Stegostoma tigrinum: one gene and its partners. The protein of the gene in region 2 interacts with the protein of the main gene of each other region in a pairwise test. Links are inferred from orthologs where the notes say so. Each region holds a gene or a part of one and is shown on either strand. Other genes may lie near its edges. The genes, in order: protein FAM107B-like, fibronectin type III and SPRY domain-containing protein 2, fmr1 and esd.

What was found.
Region 1: the proteins of fibronectin type III and SPRY domain-containing protein 2 (region 2) and protein FAM107B-like interact in binary tests that used the Homo sapiens proteins (3 or more experiments, as listed by UniProt). The two-hybrid records come from large-scale screens. The link is inferred for Stegostoma tigrinum from reciprocal best matches to the Homo sapiens genes FSD2 and FAM107A.
Region 3: the proteins of fibronectin type III and SPRY domain-containing protein 2 (region 2) and fmr1 interact in binary tests that used the Homo sapiens proteins (3 or more experiments, as listed by UniProt). The link is inferred for Stegostoma tigrinum from reciprocal best matches to the Homo sapiens genes FSD2 and FMR1.
Region 4: the proteins of fibronectin type III and SPRY domain-containing protein 2 (region 2) and esd interact in binary tests that used the Homo sapiens proteins (3 or more experiments, as listed by UniProt). The two-hybrid records come from large-scale screens. The link is inferred for Stegostoma tigrinum from reciprocal best matches to the Homo sapiens genes FSD2 and ESD.

Annotation. Positions count from the first base shown.
Region 1 is NC_081364.1:52,121,477-52,129,858, reverse strand, and holds the start of protein FAM107B-like, read right to left. Parts: upstream 3,412-8,382; 5' UTR 3,370-3,411; intron 1,214-3,369; exon of another isoform or gene 1,194-1,213; 5' UTR 959-1,193; coding exon 935-958; intron 1-934. UniProt on the Homo sapiens protein: Stress-inducible actin-binding protein that plays a role in synaptic and cognitive functions by modulating actin filamentous (F-actin) dynamics. Mediates polymerization of globular actin to F-actin. Also binds to, stabilizes and bundles F-actin.
Region 2 is NC_081386.1:35,973,286-35,981,003, reverse strand, and holds the start of fibronectin type III and SPRY domain-containing protein 2, read right to left. Parts: upstream 3,154-7,718; 5' UTR 2,932-3,153; intron 1-2,931. Other genes in the region: WASP homolog-associated protein with actin, membranes and microtubules, read left to right, coding at 4,643-5,191.
Region 3 is NC_081368.1:9,511,570-9,519,372, reverse strand, and holds the start of fmr1 (synaptic functional regulator FMR1), read right to left. Parts: upstream 3,447-7,803; 5' UTR 3,406-3,446; coding exon 3,355-3,405; intron 3,054-3,354; exon of another isoform or gene 3,011-3,053; intron 1-3,010.
Region 4 is NC_081365.1:73,601,482-73,608,931, reverse strand, and holds the start of esd (S-formylglutathione hydrolase), read right to left. Parts: upstream 3,042-7,450; 5' UTR 2,968-3,041; coding exon 2,898-2,967; intron 2,815-2,897; exon of another isoform or gene 2,689-2,814; intron 2,640-2,688; exon of another isoform or gene 2,471-2,639; intron 516-2,470; coding exon 437-515; intron 1-436.

The DNA of each region.
Region 1 (8,382 bases), on a different chromosome or scaffold from region 2:
TGTGATGTTGGGGAGGTCAGGAGGAGCCTGAGATGGATCATTCACTCGACACATCTGGCTGAAGATGGATACATTTTGAACATAAAGAACAGCCACTCAGCTTTTGAATTACATAGAATATAGCCAAGTAAATAGGAGAAATACTTGCTGCCAGTTTTCCCTTTCACTTCCCCTGAAGACATTACTTACTCACGGGGTACAGATTCACATGCATGAACCACTCTAGTACTTTGCCCAGTCATCTACCCTTTGACAGTGTATGTTCTAGGGTATTGATCCCGTGTTCAGTCAACATCTGAACTTCAGAAAGGATTGATAGTTAATTCTGCTCAACCTATGGGCAGCTATACCATCCTAACACTGGCCTAAAGGGCAGCAACCAACTTAACAGAATCTCTTGCCCTTTTTGTCAACAACTCACTGTCTTACAATCACATTATTGTGGGAGGATCTACTGTAGCAAGATCTATGCCAGTAAGATTAGAATTGCTAGTACAGGTCCAATGTTAGATTATTAATATTCTAACTCAGGCTTTTCTATAGCCACAATCTTTCCTGCGGGTAAGATTTTCCCAATCTGTTTCATTGGACAAAACCAGGCAATAAGGGAAAGTGTGAGGAAACAAATAGATCAGAAAAGAATTAACGCTTTTATTGAATAACATAAATAAACCTATGCTTCATATCTGTTAATCATTTAAATTTAACATACTTAAAGCAATTCAATCCCACAGCCCATTTCTCTATTTTCAGACAACAATCAGTTTGTTTCAGTTCTTCTTAGCAGTTGGTACTTAACTCAATATAGGCAATTATCCACAGCCAGCACACAAAATATTAGTAGTTTAGTATATTTTATGTGCTGCTAAGCGTTCTGACCCCTCTTTCATTATGTAAAATGTTAAATCAAGATGACGAACAAAGGACTGTTTACCTTTTTACCATGAGCTGCTCCCATGTTGATGGTTTTGCTCACTCCTCTTTAGGTTCTGCTGCAGTTTCCCCTGAACAATATCCTTTTCTGTCTGGGCTCCCCGTGCTGTTCTCTTTCTGCAAGAGGAGCTGCTTGCACAATGTGCGAGGAGGCACAGACTGCAGCAGGCAGGCAGGAGATGTGAAAACACGCAGCTCTGGCACCTTGACAACTCTTCCACAGAACCAAGGCTTTACTAATTCAGCAAAATGGCAAAGACCTGGGACGGAGAAGCCAAAAAACAAGTATTTAAGAGTCTCACTAATTTATAAAATAAATTAACAAAGCAAAACACTGCAATTACAACACTGATTGACACAAGTATTTCTCTCTTCAGTCCACAGCAAGCTGTGGTATGTGCCCTGTGAAGCTTTAGTACTGAATAAAGATTACATTAATTGCTCATGACACCATGTGATGATGCACAGAGCACATGGATGGCTTTACATAGAATGTGACAGGCCTACAATGCCTCGTTATTACACAAAGAAGATGTTCCTGCTGGATGGGCCTGGGTCTTCTGACATTTACATCTGGAGCTCTTCCAAGCAGCAATGCCATCCATTTTAGTATTTTGCACTGATTCACGTACCCTGCTAAATTCTGTTGAACATCCGCTAGTGCTGTGTAATAGCCAGACAGTTTATGAACTCTAGCTCAAAATCGTTTTAATCTCCAGTTGACCATCAGTTGAGTTACAATACAGTCACATGAATGAATTGCAATGTTGCCATTTCATTGCTTAAAACAGGCTTTTTGTTAAATGGGTTTGAGTTTGTGAGCTACAAAATTGAAGGTATGCTAATTGATGGATGTAAGAATTACATTAATATAGACATTGTTACACATCTTAACTATCGGTATGGAGACTCAAATGAAGTAGAAAACCTTGCAAAAAAACGTTAGTTTTCTTTTCTCAAAACCAACAGCTTAATATTTTACTTCAGATCTTGTTAACCAGCAATTTATTTTTCTGTATGTCCAATGGGATTAAGTCAACTCTCTTTTGCATTAATGTTCATATCATTGCTTCCTTTGGACATAAACTGTTCAAAACTAGCTACAATTAGAATTTATTACCAGCAACTTCCAATATTAATTAGACATCTTTTCATGAGCAAAGTAATGTAGTTTTTGGTGATTGCGTTCTTGCAAACGGTGTACAAGATAATGAGAGGCATGGATAGAGTCGATAGCCAGAGACTTTTCCCCAGGGACAGTATTGACTGCCAAGAGGTGTCATAGTTTTAAGGTGTTAGGAGGAAGGTATAGAGGAGATGTCAGAGGGAGGTTCTTCACCCAGACAGTTGTGAGCGCATGGAATACTTTGCCAGTGGTAGTCGTGGAAGTGGAGTCATTAGTGACATTTAAGCAACTGCTGGGCATGCACACGGACAGCAGTGAATTGAGGGTTAGGTTGTAGGTTAGGTTATTTTAGTTTTGGATTAGGATTATTTCACAGCACAACATTGTGGGCTGAAGGGCCTGTACTGTGCTGTACTTTTCTATGTTCTAAAACCAATTTTTATAAAGTAGATGTATGACTTCCGCTAAGTTTTCTCTCTATCTGATATTCTGAACAAAGGTAAGCCAGAAGGGATGAATGATGTAAGCTTTTCTCAAACATCATGCTCCCCTCCACCCCAAATATCCTGACCCTGAGACTCATCATCATTGGGCAAATCAAAGTTTCATTTTATTTATTTGTTACAACCTGACAATTATTTGGATTTTGTATGAAAATTCAGCGTGTCTTTTGGAATTGCACTGATCCAGTTAGAGCGTAACAATGTGTGTGGTCTATAAGTCAGTGTCATTTTCAACTCTGATGTTCAAGCATTGATCTGGGAAAATGGATTGTCTGCCCATTGTAGAGCCCATCAATGAGATGGCACTCACACAGTTTCTACAATGGATGGGCAACCTTCCCCAAGAGGTAGAGATTAAACTTAACCTCTTAGAGTTACGGGTGTTGTGATTTATATTGCAAGGTGGCACAGTGGCTCAGTGATTAGCACTGCTGCCTTACAGCGCTGGGGACCCAGGTTCAATTCCATCCCTCGTGACTGTCTGTGTGGATTTTTCACATTCTCCCCATGTCCCTTGGGTTTCCCCCAAATGTTCCAGTTTCCTCCCACAGTCCAAAGATATGCATGTAATGTGTACTGACCATACTAAATTGCCATTGTGGCCAGGGATGTGTAGGCTAGGTGTATTTGCCATGTCAAATGCAGGGTTACAGAGATGGGGTGGATCTGGGTGGGATGCTCATTGGAGGGTTGGCGTGGACTTGATGGGCCAAATGGCTGTTTCCACACTGTGGTAATTCTAGGATTCTAAAGGAATCTGAGCTGAGAGTCTGAGATAATCGGAACTAGAGGAAGGTGTTGGCTCACCCATATTCCAGCCAAAGATCCAATCCACGTTCACTTCAGGTGTTGCACTTGCCAGGATCTTAGATTCACAGAAGGGTGCTATTTGAGCCATCATGTCTGCACTGGTCTTTCAAAGGAGACTAGTCCCAACGTGTTCAGTCTATCCTCAAAACTGAATTTTTTTTCTTTGTGAAACCATTCTCGTAAATCGTGGCTCTGCATATAGGAGAGTGTAACTTGTCAAGTGATCTTAGACGAAATGAAAACATCTGAAGACCATAATTACTTCTAAAGAAAAAGATCATTTAGCAATCTTTGCTGCAGAAAGAGCAAGATACTTGAGAATATTTTCCTGAACATTTTTTCATGTGGAGACCCCAAACTGTAAACTATAACGTTGCATTTTGCTTTGATTTAGTCTGACAACCAAAATATTCCCTTTGGGTGTTAACATCAGAGAATGAAAATCCAGCACTGTTTCCTTCCACTTGTCCAGAGCTAATATGTTAGAACTCTCTGAGCATAAGTGGTAACAGAAAAGCCTTTGATTGTGATGTTTGACCAGAAACCTGTAGTGTACAGTGAATGTAATGTTCTAAACAAAGCCAATCATACAATCGATTGCCTGAGGGTCTTGTAGTGTCCCTGCATCTGGGTCAAAAGGCAAATGTCCCACCTGTTCTGGAGGCACATCACACCACATCTCAGTAGTTTGCTTTGTATAGCTATAATCAATTACTTTTGTAAGACACTAATTAAAACGGCTCGTTTGAACTCTGTATAATTAATTTGCAAAACCATAGGTCAGGGAGAAACTTGGAGTAATAATAATTCCTAAAATGTTTAGTTTGTAATTCCTATTGACCATGCTGTGTGTGGCATTGGTAAATCTCTCAGAGCAGGTCATCCATCCATTTGTATCTGTGTTTCGGGCAGTCTAGGAAGAGGCAGGAGACTGGCTCCAAGTTAAAATGTTCATGCAGACACGATGGGCTGAAAATCCTCCTTCTGTGCTTGAACAATTCCGTGATTTTGTGACAGTAAGTGGAACGAGGTGGGGAGACTACTTCCCAGACTGATCATAGCTCAAACTATTTTTCTAAACAAGCTATTCAGAGATGTTATTACACACTTGGAGCAGCAAAGAGGAATGGCCCAACTGAGACCAATAAGTAGCTAATTTATGATCACCTGCGGGCTTAATCAGCCTGTGCCAGGACTAATCCAGGCTGGAGGCAAGCCTTTTGCTAAGCATTGTGCATGACAGCTAAAACTGTGTGGCTGGCTTGCCAGCCAATAAGAGGAGGTCCCTCAATCAAAGGAACTGAGGCCCTGACAGAAAGCTACCCCTTGCCTTTGCTGCCGATTCCTCTACCAATGACCTCCACTCCACGAAACCCCTCCTGACATTACCAATCTCTGTGGTAGGGTTAGGGTTAGGTTTAGGTTTAGGGTTACCCCATCGCAAGGTTACTTCACAATCCTGGGGCTCAGGTGAAGGTTTCTCCTGAAACAGCCACGGTCTTCCCTGCAGCGTTGCTGGGCACAAGAGTCACTGTCTCCTGAGTGACTGGCATCTCTTGGTAGGTCAGATTTCTGCCCTGGGGTCCTGATTTCAGGTGAAGGCTTGCTGGTGGCCTCACTGCTGCCTGTTTGGTTTATGGTTTGGTAGGTCTCCCTGGGAAAGGTTGTTGCTGGCCCTCCAAACAGCAGGCAAGATCTGGCTGACGGAAACCCTGCTGGTAACTCTTTATGTGGAAAATAAAATGACGAATATTAAACAATGTTTGTATAATGCAAGTGGCTATATTATTGAATGGATTCCCTGTTCTCGTCAGGATATCAGCACATTAATTTACATACGCATGGTTGTCAGGTAAAAATGGCTTGAAACAAAATTGACATGCTCATTAAATTTGCAACCTTTAAAAAACTGGTTTAGTGCTATCAATCTCATCAAAACATAGCATTCCTGTTTTTTAACCTGCAGAGGAGGTTTCCAGTTTTTTCATCATGTAGTCCTTGGTAATGAAAGTGTGGGAGTTAAGTGCTGGTGATTCATTTCTGATGTGACCAAATGAAAGTAATGGCATAGTATATTTCCTGATAAAATATTGTAATATACTGCACAAGGGCAAATGCGAAACTGGTGAAAGCAGAGTCAAAAAGTAAGCATTCATTGAGAAGCAACTGCAAAATATATTCCCAACTTCCAAGGTTCATTTTAAAAGTCAGTGATTCCAAAATTATTGACTTTGATGAGTTGAGGTTCAACTTTGTCAAAAAGCTGAAACAATGTATTGAAACAAACTGTTTGGAAGAATCTTTTATCAATTCTGTTCTCCTCGTGCCTTGGGGACAGTGACCACCCTTGATTATCATTGTGTTGTTTCTGTCGCTGTGATATAAGCAAGCTGAGTTTAGTATTTTCTTGCAGAGTATTGTAATGGTTCTTCTACAAGATTTTAAATAGCTTTGGAAATTCTTTTTGAAATTCCCTTTTTCATTCATTCTAAAATATAGTATTCACTATTTGTAGGAGACTTAGTTGAATACATTCAGTTCTGGTTAAAAATGAGAGTCTGATTTCTCAGTATGTATAATACTTTACTGGCATTCCATGAGCTGTGGCCAAGTCTCAAGGTAATTTGCCAAGACATTTGAAGTGCTGTGATTTCTGGACCCTGGGCCTACATGTTTATTGACCTGACTCTTACAGACTTCAACCACAGGTAGCTGATGTCAGTATTGCGACAGCTACTTTTATGTTGAGTTTAAATTCTGTTTCAAAGCCTTGTACTTTCACACCGATGGTCCAGAATCTATTTTATTCCGTCTGAGTGTCAGTAGAACCACTGTCTTCACTTTTTGTTCCGGAGCTTTAACTTTAGGAACATTTTTCCTTGTTGCATGATTTCCACCTCTCTGGAAATTTTCCATTTTGCGGGATATTTCTTTATTTGTGAGGTAATTAAGGTGTTGTTAACTTGCAATATTTTCTGAAGAGCCCTGATTGGCCACACTTATAGCAGTTTTTAGTTCTTGCTGCTGGACATTCATTATGTTGTGATTCTCTTTTATGCTACAACCTAATCTAGTTGATGATTTTGATTCCAATTCTCCCAGCACTTTGCAAGGCTTTTGGGAAGGTGATGATGGCATCTTGGGACCTACCCATTTGACCAGGTCAAAAGAACTTCCCCTCCATCATAATGTCAGAAGTGGGATGAAAGTCAACTTTTTGCAGCATTTCAACAGGAAGATCTGGTTGTATTGTTGTGCAAGGTATTGATTTTGAAGGAGTTAATGTTTCCGTGACATTGAACTCCATCCCTTCTGAGACTGTCACACACAGGCTGGTGTGTTAAACGGTAAGTGCTACAGTAGCCTATGGAGGGTATAGCTCTCAAGAATCCTAGTAATTAGTCTTCTGGAAGGACTCTATGGTGGCCCATCCTCTTCCACTAATCATTAGGCTGGTTCTGGACAAAGTACAGATCAAAAAAAGGATTGCTAACAACAAACTACCCCTCAGCCAATCCTTGCTTGGAACCTTATTCTCACAGAGGTGACAGATACCATGAGGTGCTAATAGTGTCAATCAGTGTAATGCCACAGCTATTTCAATAGTGGCACTTTCTATCCATTGTTTACGTTAATTTATCATAATTTATACTCACAAATGGTGTCATTTTCTTGTCAAGCCAGGTACGTTACAAATTCAATGACAGGAAATCATGTCTATGTCATAAACTATTAATTTTGAAATCACTATAATTAACCGACCAGCGAGGTCCAAGGAGGTTTACAAATAAAACATTTATAGCTTGAAGCCCTCAGATTGAAAACTCTTATTTCCAATGACAGCTGGATATCAACAATTAAGTCACCATTTTTCACTGAGAGTGTAAACGTAATGATAAACCTAGCCATTTGTGTTGAGGTGGGAATGAAGACCCTACTATTACTATGATTAAAATTAAAGTATGTGATTATCTTGAAATAAATGATATGATTATACTCGATCTTTTTTTCCCAAGTTTTAGCATTCACAGCCTGTATAAGCATATCACTCATTGCTACAAAGAGCAAGGAGATAAACAACAGACAAGGTGTTTGAATTACCAAGGAAACTAGCAGATCCAAGGCTGAAGGGTGAGAATAACAATGGTCTGCATGAAGTCGAGAATTATAACTGTGTGCTGCAAACTCAGTATTTTTGACAAATGCTTTGGGTAATCAATAAGAGCTTATCCCTTATTTATGATCAAATAATATACTTGGGGCTTGTTTGAACCACATAGACTTCGGAGTGGTTATTTTTCACTCTCCTATCAACCTGCGAGTCTACTTTCAAGGGATTATGAACCTGCACTCCAAGTTGTCTTTGTTCAACAACACTTCCCAGGACCTTATCATTAAGGTGTATAAGTCTTGCCCTGATTTGTCTTTCCAAAATGCAGCACCTCACATTTATCCATATTAAACTCCTATTGCCACTCATTAGAACAATTTTGTCTGTTTTAACATACAGTATAAATCATTATGACAATCATTTCATTACATCCTGGATACTGACATCACCCACAAACTAACCAACTAACTCCCCTGCAATAGAATAGTAGATATCAGATGCTATTTTACAATGAGGTAACATACCCTTCCTTCCTTTACAACTGAACAGGGTCACTTTTGAATAATGGCATTGAATAATGAGATTGGTAGACCAAATACTCCAATAAATTCAGCTGATGCCAGGGCTCTTGTGGTGTAGTGGTAATGTTCCTACTTGTGAGCCAGAAGGTTGAAGTTCAAGACCCACTTGCTCCAGTGGTGGGATATTCCACATCTAACGAGGTAGATTACAAAGAAAGCTGTCGCTAATGCAATTCCAAGCATCCGTTGTTTCAGGTGATTGGCTGAATTCACAACACGAATCAGAGTCAGCACATCTCAATTGCAAATTTAGGTTTGGACTGGTTTGAGTCTTGCCATGCTGCCATCTCAGGATGTATGCCTGTGAATGCAATCTTC
Region 2 (7,718 bases):
ACTGAGGGTTGTCAGGCAAACATTGTGAACCTGACCACACGGAGTATTTAGGGGTAACATTGAGACGGATTGGAGCTGGGGACTACAATATTCCCATCAATGTAATTTATCTTACTCAGGTGGAGCACCTCACACTGTGCTTTGAGTTTCAATTAAAATGACCCAATGATTACACACACCTCCATTGCGTCGCTTATCTGCAACATGATCGGAATTGCACCTAAATACCTCCAGGACCAACTCAGTGGGATCCTCCATTGGCCTGACTCTGACAGGGTTTACCAACAGGCCCCTCTAAAGCCAAACCCCATCACTGTTCCTGATCCCATTACCCCCTCCCCCAACGCTGCACCGAATTTACAATCTTAGGCAGGTGCTGCCCGCTGTACCTATATTCCCATCGATCAGCACCACCCCCACAGTTCTGCCCCCTCACATCCTCCATCCTGCCCCCTCACCGCCTCAGTCCTGCCCCCACTCTCGCTCAGTCCTATCCCCACTCCCCATCAGTCCAGCCGCCACTCCCCCTCAGTCCTGCCTCCTCACCCCCTCAGTCCTGCCCCCACTCCCCCTCAGTCTTATCCCCACTCCCCATCAGTCCAGCCCCCACTCCCCCTCAGTCCAGCCCCCTCACCCCCTCTATCCTGCCCCCACTCCCCCTCAGTCCTGCCTCCTCACCCCCTCAGTCCTGCCTCCTCACCCCCTCAGTCCTGCCCCCACTCCCCCTCAGTCTTATCCCCACACCCCCTCAGTCCTGCCCCCTCACCCCCTCTATCCTGCCCCCACACCCCCTCAGTCCTATCCACACTCCACCTCAGGTTTGCCCCCACTCCCCCTCAGTCCTGCCCCAACTCTCCCTCAGTACTGCCCCACCCCCCTCAGTCCTGCCCCCACTCTCCCTCAGTCCTGCCCCCACCCCCCTCAGTCCTGCCCCCACTCCCCCTCAGTCTTATCCCCACTCCCCCTCAGTCCAGCCCCCTCACCCCCTCTATCCTGCCCCCACTCCCCCTCAGTCCTGCCTCCTCACCCCCTCAGTCCTGCCTCCTCACCCCCTCAGTCCTGCCCCCACTCCCCCTCAGTCTTATCCCCACACCCCCTTAGTCCTGCCCCCTCACCCCCTCTATCCTGCCCCCCACTCCCCCTCAGTCCTATCCACACTCCACCTCAGGTTTGCCCCCACTCCCCCTCAGTCCTGCCCCCACTCCCCCTCAGTACTGCCCCACCCCCCTCAGTCCTGCCCCCACTCCCCCTCAGTCCTATCCCCACTCCCCCTCAGTCCAGCCCCACTCCCCCTCAGTCCAGCCCCACTCCCCCTCAGTCCTGCGCCCTCATCCCCTCAGTCCTGCCCCCACTCCCCTTCAGTCTTGCCCCCACTCCCTCTCAGTCCAGCCCCACTCCCCCTCAGTCCTGCCCCCACTCCCCTTCAGTCCTGCCCCCACTCCCCCTCAGTCCTATCCCCACTCCCCTCAGTCCTGCCCCCACTCCCCCTCAGTCCAGCCCCACTCCCCCTCAGTCCAGCCACACTCCCCCTCAGTCCTATCCCCACTCCCCCACAGTCCTGCCCCCACTCCCCCTCAGTCCTATCCCCACTCTCCCTCAGTACTATCCCCACTCTCCCTCAGTCCTGCCCCCACTCCCCCTCAGTCCTATCCCCACTCTCCCTCAGTCCTGCCCCCACTCCCACTCAAGCCAGCCCCCAATCTCCCTCAGTCCTGCCCCCACTCTCCCTCAGTCCTATCCCCACTCCCCCACAGTCCTGCCCCCACTCCCCCTCAGTCCTATCCCCACTCTCCCTCAGTACTATCCCCACTCTCCCTCAGTCCTGCCCCCACTCTCCCTCAGTCCTATCCACACTCCCCCTCAATCCTGCCCCCAATCTCCCTCAGTCCTGCCCCCACTCCCACTCAAGCCAGCCCCCAATCTCCCTCAGTCCTGCCCCCACTCTCCCTCAGTCCTATCCCCACTCCCCACAGTCCTGCCCCCACTCCCCCTCAGTCCTATCCCCACTCTCCCTCAGTACTATCCCCACTCTCCCTCAGTCCTATCCCCACTCCCCACAGTCCTGCCCCCACTCCCCCTCAGTCCTATCCCCACTCCCCCACAGTCCTGCCCCCACTCCCCCTCAGTCCTATCCCCACTCCCCCTCAGTCCTATCCCCACTCTCCCTCAGTCCTGCCCCCACTCCCACTCAAGCCAGCCCCCTCTTCCTGAGCTGTTCCCCTTCGTCGAGATGTCTGACCGCCCGATCTTCCGCTCCAGTCATTTGCCGCAAGTTCCCGCAAGTTTTAGGGCTTTTGGACCAGACTCTGTACCCAGTGCCACATTGTGAGCCAGGTCCTGTACCCAGTGCCACATTGTGAGCCCGATCCCGTACCCAGTGCCACATTGTGAGCCGGGTCCTGTACCCAATGCCACATTGTGAGCCCGGCGCTGTACCCAGTGTCACATTGTGAGCCGGACCCTGTACCCAGTGCCACATTGTGAGCCAGGTCCTGTACCCAGTGCCACATTGTGAGCTGGGCCCTGTACCCAATGCCACATTGTGAGCCAGATCCTGTACCCAGTGCCACATTGTGAGCCGGGCCCTGTACCCAGTGCCACATTGTGAGCCGAGCCCTGTACCCAGTGCCACATTGTGAGCCCGATCCCGTACCCAGTGCCACATTGTGAGCCGGGTCCCGTACCCAGTGCCACATTGTGAGCCCGATCCCGTACCCAGTGCCACATTGTGAGCCGGGTCCTGTACCCAGTGCCACATTGTGAGCCGGGTCCTGTACCCAGTGCCACACTGTGAGCCGGGTCCTGTACCCAGTGCCACATTGTGAGCCGGGTCCTGTACCCAGTGCCACATTGTGAGTCGGGTCCTGTACCCAGTGCCACATTATGAGCTGGCCTTTGAGCTCCTCCACTTCAATCATTGCTGAGACTTACGGAGAGACACAGCGAACAGCAAGAACCTTCTGGAACATGGAGCATACCGTCAAGGAAAGAAAATCTCGGAATACGCACTGATCTGCAAAGTCTAAAAATAAGTGGGATGTGAGATCCTCAAATATTGCGGGACATAGTTTAGATTCCGTTAGTGTTCAGCTGGCAGGAGCTGGCCTGAAATGCAGCTCCGTCAGTGATTCAAATCCTCTCGGATTCACACAAACCCGCATTTATCAGTATTCCCGCCTGGCCACGAAATTCATATCGTTCACTTTCTCCCCCAGTATCTCCCCCGGGGCCGGGCCTGGGGTATTTTTAGACAGCGGTTGGTGACACTACCTCACTGCAAGTGACATTCAGCAAAGTTCATGGCCGATCAGAGATTGCAAACACCCAAAGAGACGGGAGAGGGAATCGGCTGAAGTCACTAGTTATAGACAGAACAAAGCAGTGTTTAACTGAATGTCCCGGTTAGTCAGCTTCAGAAAGGTGGCTCAGAGCATCCTTCCACCCATCCTCACTCACAAGCAGGATCGGCTGATTGGACTCTTTCTGTGCCACAAACTTTCTGTGATCAACCTGGCCTGGCGAGCTGAGCCTCTCCCGTGTGAATGTTGAAGTACCGAGAGAAAAGAGACCGATGGGAAACCATTTGTGGCTGTTGTCAGAACTGTGAATGTGCTATCTGAAGATACTGCTGCCATGAGATGGGGACCAGAGTCGGCTGTGCTCAGTCTACTTCAGTACTGAAGAAGTCACTGGAGTCGAAACGTTAACTCTGTTTCTCTCTCCCCCGATGCTGCCAGACCTGCTGAGTTTCTCCAGCATTTTCTGTGTTTAAGATTTCCAGCATCCGCAGTATTTTGCTTCATCAGGGAAACATCTTCCATGCACCTACTCCGTTTTGTAAGCTTTAGTGAGACAGCTTCCATTATTCGGAACGCTACAGAAAGAGGAGTGTGGTGTGAAGGAAAGGGAGACGGGATACACTCTGCCTTCTGCAATGTATAACTGAACACCTCCCTCCCAAAGACCTCCTCCCCCCATTTTACTCAACAACTTCCACAGCCCAGACTCAGAGCCTGGGATTATACAAAGTCTAAAGCGGTAAAACAAGGTCACATAAAGAAAAGCTCTTGAGAAAATGTGGATAAATTCTGCGAGGATACAGCCATAAGGAACAACAGGATGTGGAGACAGGAACACAGCATCAGAGGAGCAGGAAGGCTAACGTTTCGGGTCTGAAGAAGGACGTGGTGATGCTTATCTTTCCAACAGAAGAGAGCTGACAGGGATTGTTAAACTCAATGACGGATGGAGTAAGATGGAGGTGTTTCCATTCACTGAAGAATCCGAAACTGGGAGCCTCGTGGTGTGCCACAAGGTTGTGTCTGTTTGCTGTGTACGATAGTGATCTAGGCATCAACGATGAAGGGGTGAGGCCTGGGGCCAGGGTTCGGCTCACGGAGGGACATGGGAGAAGTCAAGGGAAGAGGGCGTGGCTCGGAGCGGTATCAGGATCAGGGGGCGGGGCTGAAATCGGGACGAGCCTGGCGACGTGGGCGGGGTTAGAACACGGGGGCGGTGCAAAGGGCGGGGTTAGAACACGGGGGCGGTGCAAAGGGCGGGGTTAGAACACGGGGGCGGTGCACGAACGGTGTCATGCGCAGTGGGAGGTGGCCCCGGTAACTAGGCCTCAAGCCTGGCGCTGATGGAGTCCGAGCAGCCGGACAGCCTGGAGGGCTGGGTGGCCATTAGGCCTGATGTGTTCTCCGAGACAGAGAAGAGCTGCTTGCGGTTCCTGGTGGCCTGGAATGAGGTGGAGGGGAAGTTCGCCGTCACCTGCCATAGCCGTGGGCAGCGGCGGAAGGCGGGAGGCGAGCCCGGGGCTCAGGGCAGCTGGGCCGCGCTGTACCGCCCGGAGGAGCTGCGCTGGATCCACCGGCAGTTGGCGACAAGCTGCTCGGCCCTGTGGCCGTGTTTCCCGGTGCTGCCCGAGCTGAGGGGCCCCGGGCTCTGGGGCCTCCTGTTCCCGGGCCGGTCCTTGGCCGAGGGCCCGGAGTCCGGCGCCGCTCTGGAAGCCTCCTGCCGCCAGCTGGAGAGGTACTTGGACGCTGCGGCCGAGCTGTGCGGCCGCCGCATCCTCCTGGAGTCGGTATTCCCCTCGGACTCCGACGGCGAATATTTCGAGAATCTGACCGAGTTCCGGAGGAGAAGCCTCGAGCAGCGAGTGGCCCGTGGCCGGGAAAGCCTGCGGGAGGTACGGCCAGGGCCTGGGGGGTGGTAGGTCAGCGGGAGGGCAACAGCTCGAAGGGCAGAGTGGCCGCCCGCTCTGATGGCTCCTGTTCGGGTTTGGATTCATGTTACACGATGTTTCCATTAAATCAACTCTGATCAGAGGCTGTTGATAGATCCCAGCCCTGCTCTCAGCCTCCCCAGTGGATTGCTCACCTCCTTCACATTCCTATAACTCACACAATAGTATTGTACTCCCCTCCTGGGTCTACTGTCTTTAAATGTAGTTATATAGGTACTGTTCTACATTAAATACAGCCAGTACAGGTATATTCACAGATTGCATCTGTGGTGTAGATTATTTTGCGCAATGTTAAGAGTGCCTGTGGAATTCCAGATTTTTGCCATGATAGAAAACATCTTCCCTTTGTTCAAATACTGTCTGGGTCCTTGTGGTTGGTTGGCTCGCTGAGCTGGTTCGTTGTTCCACAGGCATTTCATTACCCTGCTGGGTAACATCATCAGTGCAGCCTCTTGCCTGGGTCCGTTGAGAGAAATGGGTTACAATTGTTTGTGTGTCCGGTCTTGAAGGAGAGGCCCCGTTGGCATTCTACAGGTGTTTGCAGCTGCTTGTTTGAGGCTGGAAGAGCCTGGATGCTGATTGGCTTCCTGTGTGTGCCTCCAAGATATGGAGGGTATTCATTCCAAAGGCCAACTCTGGTCCTCTGTGGAACTATTGGGATTTAGATTTGGCCACATGGGATGTGTGTCTTATTAAAATTGATGTGATTATCTTGTTCTTATGTGAAGTGTTGCAACTGCTATATAAATGCAGACTTTTGGGAAGAAACAAAATACAGGTGGGGAGCATGCTCTTGGCACCAGCCACTCCTGGCAATGGAAATAATAAAACAAAATCTGACTAAGTAGATTATGTTCTGGGATGTTTCAGAGGAAGATTATAAAACATCTAGAACTAGTTCTTCCCCTCCTCCATACACTTGGGACAATAACAGAACAATCAAAGTATTGATAACATGCTCTTAACACTTTCACTTTCAATCTGAGTACCAGTGGAGTTTCACAACTCTCTTGTTGCATTAAGAGTGTGAATCTCTTGCTTCCTAAATCATCATCCAGTAATGCACTGAACCCTCAAAGAATCTACCCTGCACTCACCAGTTAACTGCTGCTTCAGTATTCCCAGCTGAGTGAGACTTTTCACAGTCTTTCTGCTGTTTTGGCCCTATCTTGGGTAGCACCAAGCTGACCATTGTACACCTCTGAAACATCAGTACAGTCATTCTGTGTCAACTCCTCTGTTGCTGTGACCCTCTTTCAGACTCAGCTGTTCAACTTGACTTCTGGCCATCCTCAAGCTCAGCCAAAACTTTGCTGCTGGTATCTGTGAGCAACCGATTCCATGATCACCCTGTGCTCACTGAATTGCATGGATTCTTTCAATTATTTTACCTTTTAAAATTCCCATCTCTATTTTCATATCCCACCATGGCCTTGTCCCTCCCTATCTCTGTAAACCTCCTCCAGTCCCCCAATCTGGCAGATTTCAGTCTGCCTGCAGCTTATGCACAGCCCTGATTTCCTTTGCTTCTGTATTGCTGACTGTTTGTTTCAGCCTGGGTCCTGAGTTTTGGAATTCACATGCACAGGTCTGCACATGCTTTCTCCTCCTTTTACATTGCTGCTTGAAACCTAACCTCTCTGAAAGTCACTTCGCATCAGTATTGATTGTTTTGTCAGATTCCACCTCTTGAAATGTGTGGCGATATTTGCATTTTTTTTAGCATCCTTACTTTAGGGAAATTGGGATAAACAAAATGATTGTCATCCTCTTATGCAATGTCATTATCACTTTTCTTGCTGGTAGTGATTTGTTGTGGTGCTGCTGTTTCCTGAAATCGTAACGTGGAAAAACCCTTATTCAGTCCTCTGGGGTGTGGTCAGAAATATCCAAACCTGATTCAAAGACACAGTGTGAGTGCTAATCCCTGGGCAGTTCTGACTGGGACTGGTTCCAGCAGAGGGAGAATGAACCTTTTCCTGAAGACCTTTATTGTTTGTCAGCAATGCATACAACACTGTAAGAAACTATCTGTCATCATGCAGGGTCCTTTCCTCCTCCTTCATCACCGTTCCTGCCCTAGATAATAAGGCTAGTTTTATCTGTCAGCATTGGGTGAAGATTAGTATTTTTGTTTAATAATGAGCTACTAAAATGTCAGCACCAAACGTGAACCACTTATGACTAACGAAGCTTGATGTATTGCACTCAACCATTTAACCTCCGCCTCCACCAGCCCCTGTTAATGAAGACTCTTCCCAAGCCTGTGACAACCCACGAGGTGCTGACTCTGTTTCTGTTATTCAGAGATACACAGAAGATGGGATCAAGTGGAGGCCATTTGACCCTCCAAGCCTGACCTGCCATTTAATATGATCAGGGCCGATCATCCCACTCTTTTCGATTTTGTCCCCAAATCCTTTCATTCCTTTAGCCCTAAGAGCTGTATTGTCTCCTTGTTGAAAATATT
Region 3 (7,803 bases), on a different chromosome or scaffold from region 2:
CTCCTATTTCTTGCAGTCTTTAAAATTTCCACCTGATTTTCCAGCACAAATCAAACAATACTGAGCTTAAAACATAGCAAAAAGAATGCAAACTTTCAAGTTCTTAAAACAATGAAAGGCTAGAAAGAATTTAGCCTTCTAATCAAGAAAGAAGGGAGAAAGTAAAGTGGGAACAACAAGCCAGAAGGAAGTTGATGAGCCAGCTGGCAAATATCAGTAAAATGCTGGCACATATTACGGAAGTATTAATTCATTATTTATTGTATTAGATTATGTCAACGTGGTTTTACAAAAGGAAAACCACATTTGACAAGCTATTTGGAATAAATAGAGGAAACAGTAGATGTAATATATTTGGATTTGCAAAAGGCACTTGCTAAGGTCCTACACAAAATGCCAACGCACAAGATACATGCATATGATATATACACATTAATTTACTAGAACAGATAGAGTTGTTGCTCAAGGACAGAAAATAGAGTAGAGATAAATCGAGTATTTTCAAACTGTCAGTGTAGTGATTCAGAATTAGTTCTGAGACCTCAACTATTTATAATTTATTTTAATGTCTTGGACAAAGATTGAATAATACCAAATAACAAGGTGTGGAGCTGGATGAACACAGCAGGCCAAGCAACATCATAGGAGCAGGAAAGCTGATGTTTCGGGTGGCCCGAAATGTCAGCTTTCCTGCTCCTGTGATGCTGCTTGGCCTGCTGTGTTCATCCAGCTCTACAGCTTGTTATTTCAGATTTTCCAGCATCTGCAGCTCCTACTATCTCTTGAATAATGCCATCTAGATTTTCTAATGATACAAGGCTAGATGGAATCATAGTTTATAGGAAGGGCACAAAGGCTACAGATATAATGGACAATAAGGTGAAAGATGGGAGTATAGTGTAAAGAAATGAGGTTATTTCCTTTTGACAGAAGAAACAAAAAAGTTGAATATTTGTTAGTTCGGCACAAAACGTTTACATTTGATATTTAGAGACTTGGCTCCCTCATAAGCGCAGAGAAAACCAATGCAAGTACAGCAAGCAATTAGAAACACAAACAACATGTTTCTCTTTAGTATAAAGAGTTTGGAGTTACAAGAATAAGAAAATTCCTATTACAATTTTATAGGACTTTGGGAAAATAACACTAGAAATACTGTAAGTTTTGGTTTTAATATTTCAGGATGTACTTGTGCTGGAGGTTGTACAGTGAAGATTTATTAGAAAGGTCACTAGTACGAGATGACCATTGCGATAGGAAACCATTGAACAAACTAGACAGATTTAGAAGAGAAATATACATGGCCTGAAGTGGCTGGCAAAGGTAGACACATTACTTTTGCTGACTAAGAAATCGAGAACGTGGGGGCACATATAGGTTAAAGGGTGATTATTCTGGTTTAAGACAAGGGAAAACTCAACATTCTAATGGGTTGTGAAACTTAAACTTTCTACCCGATAGGATTGAGGGTGCTCCATTGATGAATATGTTTAAGGCTGGAATGTGAGTATCCCAAAATTGTTAACTCAGAGCTACTTCTTTAATGAAATAAATTCTGAATAAACTTGAACTCCACATCTCTCCTTTCAGGTACAGAATAGATAAAAGCGCAAATATTTGCCTAATATTAGCATACTATTCTGTTGCTAACTGTAAAGTTTACTTCATTGGTTATGGTATTAACTAAATTACTTTTATGGCATTTCAAATTCATACAAAACATAAGCGTGTAAGCATTTCCACACAGAGCATCCTGAAATGCAAGTTTCTTTTAGCTTTAATAAGGCCATTGACAGGATGTCTCTCAGCATTTCACAGCCAAGGAATTACTTACGAAAATTAGCAACGGCTGTCTTGTAGCCAAGCACAGCTGCCAATTTACACACAGCTAAGTCTCCATAGACAACATGAGACAAGTATCTAGTTAACTATTTTGCACATAATCAGCAAAAATTGAACACTGATCATGGTCCCAGAATGTAAAGCACTTCAATGGTTTATGCAAACTTGAACAAAAAGTATCGACTTAAATCACAACTTCGCTGAAGGGCAAGTTTAAACTATCATGGTATTGGGCTTGATTCAGAAGAACTTAAAAGCCATCAGAAATACTAAAGCTAAGCAGGTTTTAAAATCCATTGAAAACTAATTAGTTTGCATTCCTGCACCTACAATATCATTGCTTTGTCACTTCCAAGTGAACATAACAACAGAAACAGAATAATTATAAATCATAAAATATTAACCACTTTTCTCCTCACAGATGCTGCCTGAGTACTTTGAACATTTTATAGCTATGGGATATTATCAAAGAATAGGTCATAGCCAGGAAGATTTAGGAATCCAAAGGTGGTTCTTATTGTTCAAACCACTCACAACTGCACTACATTAAAGATGTCTTTTCATTTCACAATTCTGGGATGTCTGGTCAACCCAGATAAGTTTTACTGAAGGGTCTGTTTCTGTGCTGTATGACTATTAGGTATTAGGTAATTGCAGATTTTTTAAAAAAACAATTTACTGAATCAATTCATCACCCCTCAAAAAAAAAGCTAGAAATGGAATCTATCACCTTAGCAACATATCCACATTTGTGGTAGTAAAAGCACTACAAGCTGATGTGATGTAACCAATTAACAAAACATAAAATACACTTTCTATACAATCGTACAGTATAAATTACTAAAGAAAACATTAAACTATATTAATATTATAAAAGGTGAACACCAATATTTGCAGAAAGGTGAAGATTTCACTTGATTATCAACAACCATGAAACTGTGACTTGGGACAGTCCAAACACAGTGGCTCAATCCATGGATGAAGTGCACGCCCACATATGCATCCTATTAAAAAAACTCAAACACAAAGCAGCTCACAGCAGACTTGTGTGAAGATGAACATTCCCCAAATACAAAAGAGAAAAGAGATGCGGGCAAGGGCCTTCTTTTATTTCCAAATCGTCAAGCCTGAAGGTAAAGGCTCAGACCAAACAGAGGCAGACACTCACGTCTCCAGATTGGATTGAGGGGGCCTCTTCACCATTGTAGTCAGGACAATAACAAAAGCAGCAGCTTAGGCTATAACCGAGGAGGAGCAGCAGAGAGAAAGAGAGACACGCCCACCCAAAGAGAGGGAAAGCAAAGCCTGGGGGGACTCATGAGGTAAAAGCCATCAGACAGAGATAATCATCAAATGGGATAGAGACAGCAGGCAGTCACACAGAAATAAGAGCTTCTCATCAGCGTGAAACAGACAACGTGGGAAGCAAAGACAGGGAACTGTTTTGATAGATGAGGAAATGAATCAACAGCCAACCACCTCCTCGTTTCCACCCACCCCCCCTCCCCGTACCTTATAAAAGGCTCCATTAGAGCCGCGCACCTCCACCATTAAATCCTCCATCTTGGCTTGCCCGCGGTGCACTATGGGACCGAGTCTGTGGTGGGGTGGGGGGGGGGGAGGGGGAAAGGGACGGCGGAGGCCGCGCGCTTCGTGCACGCTGGAACGAGGAGAGTTCCCACGCGCCCGGGAAGCCACGGGCGTGCACGGCGAAGTGCTTCGGTGGGTGAACGGAATCCGCGCGTGCGCGGGGAAGCGTATGTGCGCGGGAGCCGCGCGTGCATGGGAAATGGGCTGGGCCGGGGGTGGGGAGCGGTTGGGGGAAGTGTCTGCGCGTGCACGTGAACGAGGGAATACGCGCGCAGCCTCCATAGGCATCGCGCGTGCACGAGAAAAAGGGAAATCCGCTTCCCACCCCCCCCGCCCCGGAGGCGGCGCTCTTCAACTCTCCAAGAGAGGAGTTGGGGGGAGGGTCCGCGGGTTCCTCGGCGCCAAGGCGATTTCTTTTTTTTGCACAAATTATTTTCTTTTAAATGTACATTTCCTCTTTTCCCCCCTCGCGTGAAGAGTGGGGACTAACGCTTCATCACAAGGTGCGCATGTTTATTAAACCAAAACAAATTGTGCGCTCGGATTGAGGGGCGGGGAAAGAGGGTGATTGACAGAAAAATGAAGCAACCGCGACCCGCGGATCGGGGGTGGATCGGCCGGGGATTGGTGGGGAGGACACTGTAATTGATGGACGTGTGTGAACCAGTCGGCTCTTGGAGACGGGGCAATCGGCGCACGTTTGGTGGGTGGTATCCCCATGGAAACGTTTGACGTGAAATTTGTCCAGTCCGTGCCTTCAAATTGGCGAGTGTTGAGTCACGTGAGGCTAAACCGAGGACTGTCTGGCGGCTGGCGAAGGAAGCCGCGGGACTAGGGGGGCGGTGCCCTGGAAACTTGATATGGTTATCGACCAATCGTTCCAGGGCAACGGCCCAATCAGTATACGATAGTGGGACGGTAAGGTAATTGACTGGAAGATAATCCAATCGCCGTCGAGAACGCGTGCAGTCGTGGAGGGCGGGATATTAAGGAAAGGATTGACAGGAATTTGAGCCATTCGTTGCTCGGCAGGTGGCCAATCAGCCCTGGTTTATAGGGCGGGATCTTGCTGTAGGGCAGTCGTGGCCATGGTCATGTTATTGGGGCCTTCACGGCGGAAGGACTTGGGTTTGTTATGGCCGAGGTTCCCAGGCATGACATATGCAGGAAAAGTTTATGCGAACCATCACCGAGGATGCTGGAGAAATGCAGCAGGTCTGGCTGCAGCTGGTGGGTGGGAAGGAACCTAGAGTTTGCATGTTGTAATTAGTGTAACTCCTACAGAAATGAAGTCTGTTAGGAAAACTGTTTTTTTTGCTCTCTCGGAGATCAAGTGGCGTAAGAGGGCAGGTGTAACATGGGCGGAATGGACTTGATGGGCCGAAAGGCCTCATCTGTACTGTATAATTCTCTTAAATTGCGCAGGCTAAGGTCAAAAATCACACGACACCAGGTCCAACCGGTTTATTTGAAAACACCAGCTTTTGGAGTCTCGTTCCTTCGGGCGTAAGACTCGGAAAGTTAGTGATTTCAAATAAATCTTTTGGACTATAATCCAGTGTCATGTGATTTTTTATTTTTTAACCTTGCCTACCTCAGTCCAACGCCAGCGCCTTCATTACAGACCCAAGTGCCCTGTCGAAGATAAAAGGTGATGTTAATTATGGCGAAATAATAGACTTGGGGGATGTAAGGGTGTGAAAGTCAAAAGTAAATGAGGCACAAACAAGACAAAGCTGCGGTTTGGCTGGAGGAGCGGTGTGGGCTAGTATGTAATGAAAATGGAGAACAAACCTCATGGTTAGGGATATACAAGGTCCAGAGCTGTATGATTCATCCTGCTTCTTTGCTGCCTAACCCTGCCGTGTTCCTTCAGCTCCTCACTGTATCGATAGTGATCAGTTTTAGTGGTGGGAGTGACTCCTTCCTGGAGTGTGGACAGTGTTGAGTTTCTTTGCCGAAATGGTGGTCCCAAGACATGAGTGGCAACAATGTAAGCCAGAACAGGTGCCCTGTTCGGGATCCGGCGCTTCAGTCGATCGTGCGTTGCTGAAATTTGCCCAGCATTGACTCGTGGTGATCTTGGTGGAGAGAAGATGATGACACAGTTCCAGGCTGTTGCTGGGCCTGGATTCCTGATGGAAGTGGTGATGTTCTAGCTACAGCAGGAGTGTTCACAGACTGAGTGATGGACTGTGTTTCTTTGTTTTGCTGTCAGTGAGGCAGGGAGTAATCTAGATGGATCCTTTTCTTTTATCTGTTCCTTTTACTTCCACTTCTCTTTTTAATCTTGTCTTTTATAAATTAAGATTGTATCGGAGAATAGTGACTTTGTACACTTTTCACTGTAGCCCTGTACTTGAGTACGAGACAATAAAATCTAAATTTACATTCGGAAGTTTCTGGATTCAGTTTTGACACCTCCAAGGCAATAGTGCCTGAGTGAAAATTTGGAGGTGTTGGTCCTTGACTTTGTGTTGTTCTCCGAGGCTTTGGAGTAGATTCTGCCTAGTGTTGTTTTTGGACCATTGTGACAGGCCCAGATTAGAAACGTCTACTTGAGCAAAGTGGTTTTTTGAAATGGCAAACAAGTTGAGGTAATTCCTAAGGTCTGAGGAGTTCTGCAACTTCATCCCCCAGTCTGTATTTGGCTTTGCTCATGTTGCAATCTCCTTATTACATGAGCAACAATTGCAGTAGTTGAGATTGAGGGGCTGCTTCAACTGGAAGGTCCATATGTGGCCTTGGAGGAGATGAATGGGCAAGTGTTTTATGCTCTGTGATTGCAAGGGGAAGTCCTATGGTGGAAGTGTTAAGAGTGATGCAGGAGTGAGAGGTTTCTGAAGAAAAGTCATACCATATGTGAACTGTGCTCTCGCTCTCTCTTTCGCACCAATGATCAGCTAACTGACTGAGAGTTTCTTGACTTGTACCTTCCTCCCCCCTTTTAAACAGGACTGTGACGTTGGTCATGTTCCATTCATTTGGAACCTTCCCTGACTCTGGTAATTTCTGAAAGATCACCAGCAACGCAGCCATAATTTTCACAGCTATCTCCTCCAGTACTTTGGGGTGTAGTCCATCTGGTCTCGCTGACTTATCCTCCTTTAGGTTCTTGTTTGGCTTCCCCAGCACTTTCTCCTTTGTAGTGGCCACTACACTCATGTCTACCCACTGACTCTGTTGAAGCTCTGGTATGCTATTAGCATCTTCTACTGTGAAAACTGATGCAAAGTACGTATTCAGATTATCTGTCACTTCTTTCTCTCCATTGTTACTTCTCCAGCTTTATTTTCCAGTACTCCAATATCCAGCTTTGCCTTTTTTGTCTAAGGTATGTACACCTGCATGGTAAAGTCTCCATGATAATTGTAATAGTGCCTTTCTAACAAGCCCTTTCTATCTCCTGATTTATTTTATTTTCCCTTGTCCTGACTATAGCCCGAAAGCCTGTACGTAACTCTTATTAAGGTTTATTCCTTTTGTGGTTCCTCAACTCTACCCACACAGATCCTCTGACTGTATATCACTTTATGCTATCAGTTTAGAGTCGAGTCACGCAGCATGGAAGCAGACCCTTCAGTCCAACCAGCCCATGCTGACCCTGTCCCCAAACTAAACTAGTCCCTCATGCCTGTGCTTGGTCTGTACCCCACAAACCTTTCCTAGTCATGAACTTCTCCAAATGTTTTTTAAATGTTGTAACAGTACATGCATCTACAATGTTCTCTGGCTGTTTGTCCCATGCATGACAACGTGTTTTGTAAACGAGTGTTGCCCCTCATGTTCTTTTTAAGGTGAGAGGAGAAAGAGATCTTTAAAAAATGCTCCCTAGTTTTCAACGCCCTCCTGCCCCCAACCACCCCCCCCCCCAAATCTCTTAAGGAAAAGATCCTTGTTATTGACCTTATCTATCCTGCTTGTGATTTTACAAACATTTTTACAAGGCCATCTCTCCACCTCCTACACTCCAGTGGAAATCAAAATTCCTGGCCTTACCAGCCTATTTCTGTGTCTCAAACCCTACATTCTTGGTAACACTGTAGTAAATTAACAAGACAACCCTGCTCCCTGTGCCCATCTGCCTGCCCTTTTCAATAGGAAATGTATTCTGAGATATTTAATTCCCAGCCTGATATCTGCAATATGATATCTGCCAATTGCAAGCTATACTAAATCTCATTTACCTTGTTTCATGTACTTGTGTACATTTAAGTATAACACACTCAGTCCTGTGTTGACTGCCCACTCTTCGTATAGTTGTCCTCTTATCAGATGTTAAATTCCTGAGCCTTTCCATATCTGGAAATTTTAAGACCTTCTCCTGAGCTCCCTTCATGCTCCTTAACATTTTTCTACAACGTTTCATGC
Region 4 (7,450 bases), on a different chromosome or scaffold from region 2:
GTCACTAATAAATCCAATAAAAATTCAGAAGAAACCTCTTAACCCAGAACATGATTTGAGTGTGCAACTTGCAACCTCATGGCATAATTGAGGCAAATATCATTACAGCATTTAAATGGAAGTGGAATTAGTACAAAGAGATAATTACAGCATTTGGCAGCAGGTTTAGATGAAACAGAATACAATTGACTTGTAGAGAGCATAAATACCTGTCACATGGTGCAGTATTAAACCGCAGGCCAGTTAGGTTAGCATGCCTGCTGCTGTGCTGTTAAATTCTACAGGATTCTGTATTAAAGTTACAATATTTCCACTGTTTATCTTAACCAGCATTGAGATTAAAAAGTTTTACACCTTAAATCACAAAGGAATTCCAGAAACAAAATACTGAATTGGAAAAGAAAGTTAGATGGTGAGGCTGATTATACTAACTCACCTGTCATGTTCATACACCTTCTGATATCCTTCAAAACACTTGGCACTTGAGATTTGAGTCAGGGCCATTTTTGTCACTACTGAAAGTTTTATTTTGAAAAAAAAGAAATATGATCATATGTTTGTATGAATATAAATACAGCTTACACAATGACAGTGTGGAAAGACCCAATAGGTATTATTTTCAGAGATAATGGGAACTGCAGATGCTGGAGAATCCAAGATAATAAAATGTGAGGCTGGATGAACACAGCAGGCCAAGCAGCATCTCAGGAGCACAAAAGCTGACGTTTCGGGCCTAGACCCTTCATCAGACCTGGATTAGGAGGGTTTTGAGATTACAATGTCGACTAATACTTGGATGCTGTACTGAGGGAGGTGCTGACTGATCTCAAATGGTAAACTGATGTTCAATGTGTGTACACTAATGGTTCAGATGGATGTTATGAATCTCAGGGCAATATCTGATGGCAATTCACAATGAGACAAAAGTCTTTCATAGACTCAGTAAGTGCCAATGCACTTCTGAAGTGTGGTAATTGCTGTAATTTTGGATTATTAATTAATACCAGCAGAACAGACTTATTGGTTAATCCTCATTGTTTGTGTACTTCCTTAAACCAAAGGGATTTAGGGGTTTGGGTACATAATTCTTTGAAGTTTGCATCACAGGTAGACAGGGTGGTTAAACAGGTATACAGCACGCTTCCCTTCACGGCTCAGTCCTCTGTGCAAAGGAGTTGGGATATTATGTTGAGACTGTACAGGACGTTGGTGGGGCCTTTTCTGGAGTACAGTATTCAGTCAGGTTGCTCAGTTATTGGAGGGATGTAATTAAACTAGAGGGTTCAGAAGAGGTTTACCAGGAAGTGCTGCCAGGTATGAAAGGTTTGATTTATAAAAGAAAGGGTGGATGGGCTGGGACTTCTTTCACTGCAGTGTAGGAGGTTGAGGGGTGACCTTATGGAGGTTTCTAAATACAGTTAAATGGTGGGTGTCTCTTCCCTAGGATTTCAAGACTGGGGACATATTTTTAAAAGTGAGAGGACAGATATCTTAAAAAAGCCATAAGGGGCAAATTTTCATTAGAGGGTAGTTCGCGTGGGGAATGAACCTCCTGAGAAAGTAGTGGATGTGGGCATAGTTACAATGTTTAGTTGACACTTAGATAACACACAAATAGGAAATGTTTGGAGGGATATGACCCCAGAGCAGACAGGTAGGATTAGGTTAGTTTGGGATTATGTTCAGCATGGACTGGTTGGAGCGAAGAGTCTGTTTCTGTGCTATATGACTGTTTCGGGTTAGAGTTAGTGTTCAGACTGGAAGATAAATGCTTGTCATTTTCCACAGTTCTAGAAAACAAAAGTCACTATTTGGACTTGGGCACTAGAACAGAATCACAAATATGTGCTGATGGCACAGATGTAGGGGCTCTGGCAAATAATGAGGGGCACAGAGGAGTTTCACCACGATGTTACCTGGGATGGAGCAGTTTAGCAATGGAGACAATCCGGAGAAGAACAGATTGTTTTCTTTCAAGCAGAGAAGGCTGAGAGGGTACATAATAGATGTATATAAGATTATGAGAGGCGGGATCAGAGTGGATAGAAAGCAGCTATTCCCTGAAAGGGTCTATAACAAGGGGGCATAATTTTAAGGGGATAGGCAGTTTAGAGGCAATTTGAAGAAATTCTTTTTCACCCGGAGGATGGTGGGAACCTAGAATGCACTGGCTGGAAGTGTAGTTGAGGCAGGAAATCTAAAAACTTTTAAAAAAAATACTTAGATGTGCACCCGAAATGTCATAACATTCAAGGCTGTGAGTCTCGTAGAAGGCGGGACTAGTCTCAATTTTCGAGTACTTGTTTGCTCATGGGCCAAAAGGACCTCTTCTATATAGTATGGGTTTGACTGTAAATCAAATCCAAGTTTCTTTTTCAAACAGAAGTCAACACAATCCTATGCCTTTCCCGTGTGTATAAAGTCCTACATTTGATTATCGATTTACTTGAAAAGAGCTGTGAACACATACCCGGAACTCGAAACCACTCACTTTATTGAGTGAGCTTGCTGTGTGCAGATTAGCTGCTAACTTTCAACACAAACAGCCAGCACCCTTCAAAAAGTGCTTCACTGGTTGTCTTTTGTTTGCTGGGCCCTGGTTGTAGAATGTGCAATGTAAATACGAACATTCCTGATTCATCTCGCTCCATCCCGGGGAGGGGAAGAGGGCGGTCTCCGTTTCCTTACCGCCTAGGCTCAGGCCTGAGCCTCAGAGTCTCGGTCACTGAATCCTGAAGCAGTTCCCGTTGCATTTTCAACCGGCGGCAGAGGCTCTCGATCCGGCCCGGGCCTTCCCCGCGCGACCCCCGCCCCTTCTCCTTCCCCGCGCGACCCCCGCCCCTTCTCCTTCCCCGCGCGACCCCCGCCCTCGCGTGCTGCCGTTGCCTGTCACGTACCTCTGACCGCGCTAACGACCCGGGCTCGAGCGTCTGAGACGGCGACTCTCGTCCCTACAGCCAGGCACATAAAATGCAGGCACTAAGCTCCGGGGAAGCGGAGAAGTGATGTGGTGTTTCTGAGGGGAAGGAGTTGGTGGTAACTCCGCCTGGACAGGAACGAGGTGTGGGGGTGAGTTAGGGTTAAAGTTGGTATAGTTTGTGCACTTTAATCATCGTCTCTAATCTCACCACGTCAAAGCCAAGTTATTCAGTTTGGTGATAACTGTGTTATTAACTAGAAACCGTGTTTTTCAAACATATATTTCAAATTTCAGAATCACAAATCATTGAGCCTAAGGGTCAGTAAACCCATTAATAAACTGACCCGAAACATCAGCAACAAGCCCCAAACTCAGCAGCATTGATCATTAAAAGTATACCAATACGATGATGGCCCCCTCTTAACGCTCAGTGAAAAACCTAATATGAAAACTACGGCAATTACAAATTATTTGACTACGTTACGCTTAAAGAAAAGACCAGCTGCCTTAATCCAGGTTTTTAAATAAACCAGGGTCATTTGATAAGACCTCTGTGTATTTATAGAAAAGCGATAGTTCGCTTGACATGACATCTGTAATATATTCACTTTAAGTTAATTTCCGGGCTGTATATTATTGTGGAAAAGAGCAATACGATTGAAAGAGATTTTGCATCTCTCATGTATCCAAGGATGCAAAATTGTATCCCAGAAAGAAAAGACTGTAAACTTGCAAATCGACACTGATCTGACTTTTGTCCGTCAAATCCTCGTTCTGTGGGAGGAATGGGAACAGACTTCCAGCAGAATACAAAAAACCATGGACATTTCACCAGTGTAAACTCTACTCTGTACTGCAAAGGACCATATAATCTGACTGAATGGATCAATGAAAAAAGATAAAATGGTATATTTTATCCACTTTGCTAATACTTGGGTTCTGAATCTGCAGATAACAAGGAGTGACAGTACTTCAAAATGGATCTCCAGTATCAATAATATGTTCATCTTCAAATAGTACTTTTTTGGTTTACATGGATTTTAGTCTGAGATAGGACAGACATGCCTTTTGCTTCAATGCACAACTGACCAGAAACTAAAAGGAAAAAACATTGACAATTTAATGTATGCAATTTTCAATTCTCATAAATGCATTCAAGTTTGTGTCATCTGGGATAGAAAGTGGAAAGCAACAGTGAACAAATGTTTTCTGTGGAGAGAAATAAGAGAGAATTTTGTGAGCATTCACCAGGAGACTGGCCTAATTCAAAACAGAGAATGATCAGTGTGTTCATTTACAGTTATTTTTATAAATGTTTTCTGGGTGATTTAAGAAGGCATTTAAGAGTGAAGCGTATCACTTGAGACCAGAAGTTGAATTTAGCGTGGATAGGTAGGAACAAAAAACTGCTTCCTTGAAGGACATTAGAAATATACTCTCATTGAACTTTTGAGAAGGTTGTCACATTTTCAAGTTTGACAGGTGGGGCAGAAATATAACAGTACCTGTTCTTAGCTTTATATTAATCTAGCAACGAGCTATAATTTCAAGAAAATAAGTGAAAACATATGTCTACATATATATCAGAGATAATGGAAACTGCAGATGCTGGAGAATCCAAGATAACACAGTGTGGAGCTGGATGAACACAGCAGGCCAAGCAGCATCTCAGAAGCACAAAAGCTGACGTTTTGGGCCTAGACCCTTCATCAGAGACACCCTTCCGCAACACATCCCTCACACCCCGCCCCCACCACAACCGACCAAAGAGGATCCCCCTTGTTCTCGCACACCACCCCACCAACCTCCGGATACAATGCATCACCCTCAGACGCTTCCGCCATCTACAATCCGACCCCACCACCCAAGACATTTTTCCATCCCCACCCTTGTCTGCCTTCTGGAGAGACCACTCTCTCCGTGACTCCCTTGTTCGCTCCACACTGCCCTCCAACCCCACCACACCCGGCACCTTCCCCTGCAACCGCAGGAAGTGCTACACTTGCCCCCACACCTCCTCCCTCACCCCATCCCAGGCCCCAAGAAGACTTTCCATATTAAGCAGAGGTTCACCTGCACATCCACCAATGTGGTATACTGTACCCATTGTACCCGGTGTGGCTACCTCTACATTGGGGAAACCAAGCGGAGGCTTGGGGACCGCATTGCAGAACACCTCCGCTCGGTTCGCAGTAAACAACTGCACCTCCCAGTCGCAAACCATTTTAACTCCCCCACCCATTCTTCAGATGACATGTCCATCATGGGCCTCCTGCAGTGCCACAAGGATGCCACCCAAAAGTTGCAGGAACAGCAACTCATATTCCGCTTGGGAACCCTGCAGCCCAATGGTATCAATGCGGACTTCACCAGCTTCAAAATCTCCCCTTCCCCCACCGCATCCCACAACCAGCCCAGTTCGTCCCCTCCCCCCACGGCATCACACAACCAGCCCAGCTCATCCCCTCCCCCCAGTGCATCCCGAAACCAGCCCAGCCTGTCTCTGCCTCCCTAACCTGTTCTTCCTCTCACCCATCCCTTCCTCCCATCTCAAGCCGCACGTCCATTTCCTACCTACTAACCTCATCCCACCTCCTTGACCTGTCCGTCTTCCCTGGACTGACCTATCCCCTCCCTACCTCCCACCTATACTCTCCTCTCCACCTATCTTCTTTTTTCTCCATCTTCGGCCCGCCTCCCCCTCTCTCCCTATTTATTCCAGAACCCTCTCCCCATCCCTCTCTGTGATGAAGGGTCTAGGCCCGAAACGTCAGCTTTTGTGCTCCTGAGATGCCGCTTGGCCAGCTGTGTTCATCCAGGTCCACACTTTGTTATCTTGTCTACATATATACTTATTTTGAGAAAAATAACCAGTTAATTAGAACACAACAAAGCTAGCACAGATAAAGCATTGGCCTGCATAACATGGAAAGTATTAGGTGGTTCTAGAAGTCTGGATGATCACGTCTACAGGTACTGCCATCAGTTTCATCTGCTTAAGTATTGGGTTTCAGAGCTTGAGCACTGGCTGGAGGCACTACAGTGAATCTATGAGGCTGAGAGTTACTTGGAGAGCACATTTTTAGATGTGGTCACTTCATAGTTTAAAGAAGTGCAGTCAGAGGAGGCTTGGGTGACTGCCAGTCAGAAGAAGAAAACCAGGCAGGTAAGCCCCAGTCAGCATCTTACTTGAGAAATTTATTTTTGTCTTGGAAATAGTAGGAGCGACAGTTCCTCTAGTCAGTGCAGCCAGAGCCCAGCTGCCCAAGGGTGGAGTGAAGCGAGGAAGAACAATACTGGTAGGCAACTCAATATGAGAGGTACAGGCATTTTTGCAGCTAAGGACGTGACCCTATCATGGTTTGTATTCTGCAGTGGGAGGAATAATCCAGTTCGGATGATCGAGGTATCTTTTACTGGGCTCCTTTGTTCTAGCGCTTGTAAGGAAGCCAAAGGCCGTAGCAACAAATCTTACCTCATTCCCGGAATAACAATTGTGCTATGATAAATTATACAGTCCACATTTACCATCAATCATATAAGAGGTTACAGAAACATTTAACAGTATGAATGATACAATATCCTCTTTTGGTCTGAGTCTGTCTGCTCCAGTTCTTGGCTGCTTGCAAAGTCTGTTGGCCAAAGTTCAACCACTCCTTTAGCTCACCTGGACATAATTTTGCTATATTAAGCCTTTCAGTGTGTTTCGTCCCTAGAGTCAGGATCAAGGATGTCACTGAATGGCTGCCAGACATTTTGAAGGGGAAGGGAAAGCTGTCAGAGATCATGGTTCACATAGGTACCAATGACATAGTGAGAAAGAAGGATGAGGTCCTGAATCAAGGTTTTAGGGAGCTGGGTAGCAGATTGTAAAGCAGGACTTAGAACAGTACAACAGGAATGGAACTTTCAGCCCACCGTGCCTGTACTGGCCATGATGCCATTCTAAACTAATCCCATCTGCCTTCATGTGATCTATATCCCAATATTCTCTGCCTGTTCATGTTTGTCTAAATGCTTCTTAAATTTTGCTGTCATTGCTGCTTTCACCACCTTCCTTGGCTCAATATTCTAGGCATCTACCACCTTCTATTTATAATGCCTTGCCTCGCACACCTCCTTTAAAATTTCCCCCTCTCACCTTAAACCAATGCCCCCTAGTATTTGAAATTTCCACCCTGGGGAAAAAAAGACCCCGACTATTCATCCAATCCATGATTGTCATAATTATATGTACTTTTATCAGGCTCCCCCACTCAGTCTCCGATGCTTTAGCAAAAACTATCCAAGCTTATCTAACCTCTCCTTACAGCTAATACGCTCCAACCCAGGCAACATCCTGCTAAACCTCCACATCCTCTTCAAGGTTTACATACCCTTCCTATATTGTGGTGACCAGAACTGCATGCAAGACTCCAAATTTGGCCTAACTGAAATCTTGTACCGCTGCAATATGACTTGTTGACTTTTGTACTCAATGTCCTGACTGATAAAGACAAGCATACCAAATGCCTTCTTTACCACCTTATC